Linked DNA regions of Danio rerio. The protein of the gene in region 2 interacts with the protein of the main gene of each other region in a pairwise test. Links are inferred from orthologs where the notes say so. Each region holds a gene or a part of one and is shown on either strand. Other genes may lie near its edges.

Region 1 (3,829 bases), on a different chromosome or scaffold from region 2:
CTTACTTGTAGGTTTCAAACAAGCCTGAAGGACTCAATTAGTTTGATCAGGTGTGTTTAATTAGGGTTGGAACTAAACTGTGCAGAGCTGCGGCCCTTTTGGAACCGAGTTTGACACCTGTGAAATAGATGATATAATTAAATTATTAAATAAAACGTTTATTTATCTGTATTAAATGATTTACATGGTTTCAATTGTTTACTTAATCCCATTGTCTTTTCAATAAAAAAACTTCAGTTCAAAATCCACTTTAGTTCAAATGTTAAAAACTGAGTTTGAAAGCCATTAATAGTTTGTTTTATGCACTGTTGGAACCAAAACTTCACTCCAGCCACTTTAGAGTAAACTTTAGTAACTTTAGTAACCACCCAAGCATCACCCACATGTACTTCAGACACCCATAAAAAGTGTTACAGGTGATAAAACTCAATCAAAAAAGATGTGAACTCAGACCTGGTAGGAACTGCTGAAGTGATAAAATAAGAATTAATAGGAAGAGGAACTCTCTTAACATTTGACACTTTGCACCAAAAAAGCTCATATAAGACCACAAAGCATTTAGTCTGACTCACAGCCAGAGCAAGAGCAAAAAATTGTCCTTTTGCATCCATGAAGTCATGGTAACTACCTATTAACTTCCTATATCACCCACAATGCAAAAATACCATACAATGTGATAAACTATACAAACAACTTCCCTTTTTTAAAGCCACAAGTGAGCAAGGTCACGGTGAACAGAAGCTTTTCTTTGCACAAGCATTAAACTGCTAGCATGAGAACCCCGATGAATCATATGAGCAAGTTTCTGATCAGCTTTGACGGGTTTTTACATCTGCTTAGATGACAAAAAACAGTGGCGAGCTGCTGCAGTCTAAAATTTCATGTCTGCAGAAATTTAAGCACAAGGAGCTGACAAGCTTTCAGCAAAGACAATCTCTCTTGGCAGACAGCAGAAGTAAACACAAAATGTCTGAAAGATTTCAGGAGTTAAAGCACAACTCTGGTTACAATCCCATGAAAATAAGACAAAAACTAAAAACTTTGACTATTTTATAACTGTTTTATACTGTGTACAATGTCGAGTGATCTGGTTTGCACTTGAATACATTATAATAATAATAAATATTATTTATTTATTATTTTTTTCCAGGGCCAGAAAAAAAAGGAAACAAAGTAAGACTTGTCAGACGAACAAAAATTGTAAGATATAAACTCACGAATCTGAAAGTGTGAATAGCGAGACCCAAAGAAATAAAATAAATATTTTTTGCTTGTCTAGAAAACACTTCTTGAATTAAGCATTTTTAAAAATGTTGACTAGAAATAAGAAAAAGTAAGAAAAGCATTTTTCCAGTGCAATGTTCCATGGTTAATATATATACCGGAATAATATATTATATTATATTATAAATATATACCGGAAAGGCGATTTCACACAGTTTTTGAATCCAGTCATCCAGTTCAGCTGTCTCAACAGCAAACACAAATGTTTTTTCAGTTGTCTCCACCAAAAAAGGCCCACAATCCCGTGGACAGCCTTCCACGTCAGCCTCCGAAACACGAATACAGTCGCTCATTTTTATCACCTGTAAAAAAAAAATAAAATAAAATAAATAAATAAAACTTAAGTTCAACACAGCTTGTTATCTTTTAGAATATTCCATACTGACCATTTAGCCTTTTTATAATAGTATATTAAAATAGTATATTGAATTTTGGCTTTCCATATTAATTCATTCATTCATTTTCTTTTCGGCTTCGGAGGAAAGCAATGCGAAAACAGGGAGAACATGCAAACTCCACACAGAAATGCCAACTGACCTAGCCGGGGATTGAACCAGAGACCTTCTTGCTGTAAGGCAATCGTGCTACCCACTGTGCCATTGTGACACCCATTTTCCTGGTATTATATTTCTTTTTGCTCATTTTGGCTTTCCATAATATTGTATTTTTTGTCCATTTTGTATTTTCATAATACTATATTGAATTTGGACCATTTTGGCCTTCCATAATATTATATTAAATTTTGGCCATTTTTGCTTTCCAAATTAGTATATTTTATTTTGGTCGTTTTGGCATTCCATAATAATATATTTTTTTGGCCATTTTGGCTTTCCATGATATTATATATTTTTCGCCATTTTGGCTTTCCATAATATTACATTTCATTTTATAATACATTATTTGGCTATTACTACTACTATCAATAATAGTATATTGAATTTGGGCCATTTTTGCCTTCCATAATATTATATTTTATTTTGGCCATTTTGGCTTTCTTAATAGTATATTTCATTTAATAGTATATTTTATTTTGACCATTTTGGCTTTCCTATATAGTCTTATTTATTTTGGCCATTTTGCCATCATGGTATATTGCATTTAGGTCATTTTGGCTTTCCATAATATTATATTTTATTTAATAACATATTTTTTGGCCATTTTGTCTTTCTATAATAGTACATTTCATTTAATAATATTTGTTTTTGCAAATTTGAAACATGACTCATAATTATCAAGAACTAATTATCATCCACATGCTTTCATTTTTGAAAATACTACAATTGTGAAAGTCCTTTTTTTTTTTTTGGTAGAAGGGATCATAGCAGAAATAGGCACATGTTTAATGGTACTTCCCACAAAATTTTGTTCTCCCACACGTAACGCATGACCCATAACTGGTTTGATTATTCATAAACCGTGGTAGATTTTGAATTACATCACTCTCCTCAAATACGCCACATCTTATGTGTTTTATTCTGGAAAATTTGAGCTCCACAGGCTGTCCTTTACCTTTTTGTTTTCATGTTTGCGGTTTGCTTTCTCCAGCGTGTTAGGGGTTCCATCTTTAATCTCGAAAAACTCAAGGCGAGAGATAGAGCAGGAGCTTTCTCGATACAACACAGACCAGACCTTTCGCCATTTCTGAAACAGAGAGAAGGTTGAGAGTCAACTTACATATTTTTTATATTTCAGAATGTTTACTATCAGACAGCTTTTGTTAAACTTATCCAAGCTACATAAATATAGTTGAAGTCAGAATAAGCCCCCCTGAGTTATTAGCCCCCTGTTTTTTTTTTTCCACAATTTCTGTTTAAAAGAGAGAATGTTTATTTTAAACAGATTAGTAAGCATAATAGTTTCAGTAACTCATTTCTTATGACTGATTTATTTTATTGTTGCCATGGTGACAGTAAATAATATTTTACTAGATATTTTTCAAGACACTTCTATACAGCTTAAAGTGACATTTAAAGTCTTAACTAGGTTAATTAGTTTAACTAGGCAGGTTAGGGTAATTGGGCAAGTTATTGTATAACGATGGTTTGTTCTGTAGACTATCGAAAAAATATATAGCTTAAAAGGGGTAATAATTTTGACCTTAAAATTAAAAACTGCTTTTGTTCTAGCCAAAATAAAACAAAAAAGACTTTCTCCGGAAGAAAAAATATATATTTATCAGACATACTGTGAAAATTTCCTTGCTCTGTTAAACAATGTTTGGTAAATATTTAAATATTTAAATAATAAATTAATGTTGTGACAAAATTTCTAATGCTACATGTGTTAAAATTAAGGACTGTAAAATAAAATATATGTTGTAACCTAAATTAAAACATAGTAAAATTAGTCCACAAAATAGTCATGTAAAATTATTTAAATTAAAAGTAAAAAAAAAAAGAAATAGAATACTAAACTTAACATTTTAAAAACATAGACACATACAGAAAAAAAGAAACTTTGAGAGAAATGAATTGTGAGGGAAGTAAACGTCACTAAGATATAAATGTATCATTTAAAAAAAAAATTATTATAAAATACATTTATA
Region 2 (4,385 bases):
AAAAAAAATTTTTGACAAAATTTGGGAGGTTTAAAAAAATATAACTTTTATATGCAACTTTAATATTCAACAAAACATAACTGTGTGCTCCTACTCCGTTCAGTTAGTAGTGACTGGTGCATAGTGCAAGCCGAGTGGGCCCACCCGTAAGAGGAGGGGAAAGAAAGTCCAAGGACAAATCTGACTCGCCTTCGTGTGCACACGCATTACGCAGCGCCTGCAGTTAAACTCACAGCACTTTATCATAACACTTATATCGATCTTTTTTTCCACAATTGACAGCAAGAACAAACACAGAAGCATTGTCTGATTGACAAGCAGCCCCTAAATATGTTCAAAAGGATTTAAAACACCAAATAGGACAAATTTATACCCCATTTCGTAAAAACATACTCTAACATTAAGTGCAGTGCAGTGTGTGGGTGAGAAGGAGGCAGTGTTTCGATGTGATCCAGTTATGTTTTGGTTCTGTGACTGCAGGTGTTGGTTGCTGTATGGTTAAAAATTATGACAGTTAAAGTAACCAGGTTAATTTCGATTTAAATTAACTAAAATAAAATAAAATATTAATATAATATTTTGGGAGTTTTATGTGCATTTCCGACAGCTTTTGAGCTGGAAAAATCAGCTTTACCTGGCAACACTGCCCCACATCATTAGGGCTGAATGGGCTGTATGCACAGCTAGTGTTTTTCAGCTAATGATGAACTTCTGATGACAGGTTTATGTGACTATTTTCAATTTCATAATTAATTCAAATATAATCAGTTTATTAGACTTAAGCATTCATTTGGTTGTTAATGCATAAAAAGAGACTGTTTAAACGCAGGTGCCTTCATTAGCAGCAGGCCAGCACAGATGCTCCATTGAAAATACTGGGGTAAAATTAATTTCCATATTTTAAAGACACGGTGTGGTAAAAATATAATTAAATGCAGTGCTTCTTTTTTGGTCGGATACCCATTTTATATCTTATCTCAGCTAGGCATTGAAGATCGTTGTTTTTTAAAGATATCAGATCTTTAACACTGCAATTTTGTATGGGATGAAAATTCACCAGAAGCCCTGGGGCTGACTGAAATTAAAAGTTTGTGTGCACATACCCCATCTGAGTAAACAGACAGTAGGTGCGTCCCAAATCACATACTTTTGCACTATTCTACGCCATTTTGTAGTAGAAATAGTGTAAGTAGTGCGTTCACACTGAAAACTCTAAAAATAATAAGTGCGCTCTAATTACTCGGATGATGCACTTATTCAACAGATAAAAGTAGGTGTGTAATGATGGACACTTCACGCAATTCACAGTCGCTGCCTTACTTATGGTAGCGGGAGGGGCGGAGCCATCGGAGGCACATGTTGGATATATTTATTTTGGATTATGAAAGCAAAATTCTCCTCTGAGAGAGATTATACCACCTCCCGATAGTGAATGAGGTTATACTCACGGCAGGTATTATGTGGTTGTTTGGTCATTTATTTGGAAACCGTCAAACTTCATCAGGGAAGCGGTTTGAATTTCTGCGTAGTGTTTCATTTGGGACGACACTACATACATATACTATGCTGTTGGAAGTGTAAGTGCATAAGTACATAGTGCATAAGTGCATAGTGTGCCATTTGGGACGCAGCTAGTGATTATCAAGTGCACTCATTCAGTCCCACAATGCACTGCAATAGTGTACACTTACAAGGTTGTGCATCTTGACAGAAGATGGCGCCCAGAGCTCATTCCAGTAGATCCATTTTAATTGCTGGTCCACTGTGGGTACAGCTAAATATCATGAAGCCATAATTTCTGATTCAAGTTGTTATTAAATAGTTTAATTTAGATTTACACATAGATAAATCTAATCAATACAGCTGGAGCTCCCAGATTACCAAATTTCACTCATTCAAGTGTGAAGGCTGTGCCAGGCTCTTGCTGTGCTAAAGATTTAGGTAAGGTTTTCAGTGTCAGTGGTTGCTAATATGATTTTCACTATTGAGAATTTGTAAACAATATTTTTTTGTTAAATATTATTAAGGAGAAAGTCCGACTGTGTGAATGTAAAACTAACTTTACCTCAATACGTCATAGCAACGTCATGTGGAACTCGCATCTGACGCTCTGCATCTGCAGTTGTTGATGGTAAGGAAGACTTTGACAGCTGAAGCTCACACGCATCACAATCAAACAAACACGCATAACACACCTCTTTCATGTAGACCAAATACATCGTTTCGGCAATCTCCAGAAATCCTTGTGCTTTTTCAATCTCATCTCTTCCCGCCCACAAAATGCCGAGCTGATTCTGTCAAAAACACAATCGTCATACGTCAACCAGCAAGAGAAGCACGTTTATTGAGTCATACCAGGCTTTTTAGAAAATAATAATCCATGTAGTGTGAATTTACCCGGACATGTATAAATAAGGAGACGTTCTCCCGTGTTGTGGTGCACTTGTCAATGAGCTTCATGCAGACCATGAGGTGCAGCTCTCCAGCCGACAGCTCCTCCGTCTCTATGTGGTTCACGCCGAGATGATATTGCAGCACCGCGAGCCTGGCCGCTCTCAGGCCGGCTGCAGAGTCTCCAGTGAACGTTTTCTCAAAACCATCCTCCGGCTCACCATCCGCCGTTTGGCTGGACTCACAGTCCGCTTCATCCCCAGCCTCGCCCTGCTCCTCGATTTCAATCTTTTTCAAAGAACAGTGGATTTCCTTCAGCAGATCTCTGGCTTTGTATTTCGATCGGAAAGGGTTATTCTCTGGGTCTTTTTTCGACTCTATTTCGGAAAGCTCTTGGGCAAGGCGAAATTTCTCGCACACGGCCCTCCACTCGATACTGTTGTTGGCAGCCATGTTTCCCTCTAGCAATAAATAGTGTTCACCAGCAGAGGTCAGTCCCGAGACACAAGCAACGCACAGCTAGTAGTTTTAGTTTACTTTAGTTACTTGTTTATTTAAAATATCATATTAGTTACTGATTCATTTAAAATAGCATATGAAATGATCTCATCATAAAGTCTCGATGTGACTAGTACTTATTATGTGTCTGTTATTATTGGCTGGATTTACTTTCCGACTCTCTGTTCTTTCCAGATTCTCTGGCTCCATCTACAGGTCAATGAAAGTCAGAGATGTAAACAAACAGGCTTCCTGTGGGGTGTGAGTTGTTGGCGGATGTGGCAGGTGAAGTACTTTATACATGGGCTTGTTCCAGTACCCACATTTGCGGTTTTTCCTCCGTGTGGTCAAAATATCTCAAGTGTAAAGTCCCCGTGTTACTTAGAAATAACAGATTCTGAACCATCTAAAACAAGTTGTCAGTAATCTAATTAAAGCAATGTCTAAATTACTTCCCTATACTGGGGGAAAATAGCCTAAATAAAATTCTCTTAACCATGTTCTGTAAAATGCAAATTATGTGGAAGTAACGTTGTTTCTTAATCTTTGTCACTTGAATGTTTTATTATGTTTAACTGTGTGTTTAAAAGTTTACTTATTCACCACCAAAGTAAGCCATGCTTTAAAGTGTATCCTTAACATTTAAGTAAACAACAGTAGTTTTTTGTTATTGTCTGTAGCCTATTGTGCCATAGATACACAGCAGCTATTGTGCCATAGATACACAGCACTCACAACATAAGTGACCTAAATTAAACACAGACCTCAGTACTTGGTACAACACACAATAATGAAACCGTCATGTTTTTTGCAGTGTGAAGGAGTTTTTTTTTCAATAGAAAATTAAGCCCATAAGTAACTACATATAAGAAAAAAGTAAATAATTGGAAATAATGAAAATGGCTTAATGTATGATTAGAACATCTTTGCTTAAAAGTATTTTTTTGATATTTAAATGAATCATTACAAACAGTGAAGTGATGCAACTGATGCCTGTAGGTTAGATGATAATGATAACTATCAAATCTATTCTGCATACTCCACATTCATATAACAGCTACATACTTTTTAACGTGTGCTTAAAATAAATACCTGCTAAAAAGTGTCATGAACCCCCTTCTTTCTAAAGTCTATGGTGGAGTGCTGTGAGCAGAAGGGAGGAGTGGGCAGAGCAGGGAAAAAAGAGGGGGTGTACAACTGTCAGTTGGCTCAATAACAATTCTGACACAAAACATGAGATGGCATGATTTTGTTGTTTACAAAGTTAAAATGCAAAAGAAATAAACAGTATTTAAATGCCCGGTTACATGTATGATATACTGTTTGTAATTTCATATAATATATCTACATAACCACAATTTGTTCTATTATTATAATCATGTTTATATAAACACTATGCATCCCAGAGATGGGTTGCGGCTGGAAGGGCATCCGCTGCGTTAAACATGTGTTGGATATGTTGATGGTTCATTTAGCTGTGGCGACCATAGATTAAT

The links.
Region 1: the proteins of kifbp (region 2) and dok2 interact in a two-hybrid assay, tested with the Homo sapiens proteins (2 studies listed by BioGRID and IntAct). The two-hybrid records come from large-scale screens. The link is inferred for Danio rerio from reciprocal best matches to the Homo sapiens genes KIFBP and DOK2.

The regions. Positions count from the first base shown.
Region 1 is NC_133183.1:51,030,291-51,034,119, forward strand, and holds part of dok2 (docking protein 2), read right to left. Parts: intron 2,926-3,829; coding exon 2,794-2,925; intron 1,587-2,793; coding exon 1,419-1,586; intron 1-1,418. UniProt on the Homo sapiens protein: DOK proteins are enzymatically inert adaptor or scaffolding proteins. They provide a docking platform for the assembly of multimolecular signaling complexes. DOK2 may modulate the cellular proliferation induced by IL-4, as well as IL-2 and IL-3.
Region 2 is NC_133188.1:26,245,682-26,250,066, forward strand, and holds the start of kifbp (KIF-binding protein), read right to left. Parts: upstream 2,858-4,385; 5' UTR 2,845-2,857; coding exon of another isoform or gene 2,398-2,844; intron 2,295-2,397; coding exon of another isoform or gene 2,196-2,294; intron 2,117-2,195; 5' UTR 2,066-2,116; intron 1-2,065. UniProt on the Homo sapiens protein: Activator of KIF1B plus-end-directed microtubule motor activity. Required for organization of axonal microtubules, and axonal outgrowth and maintenance during peripheral and central nervous system development.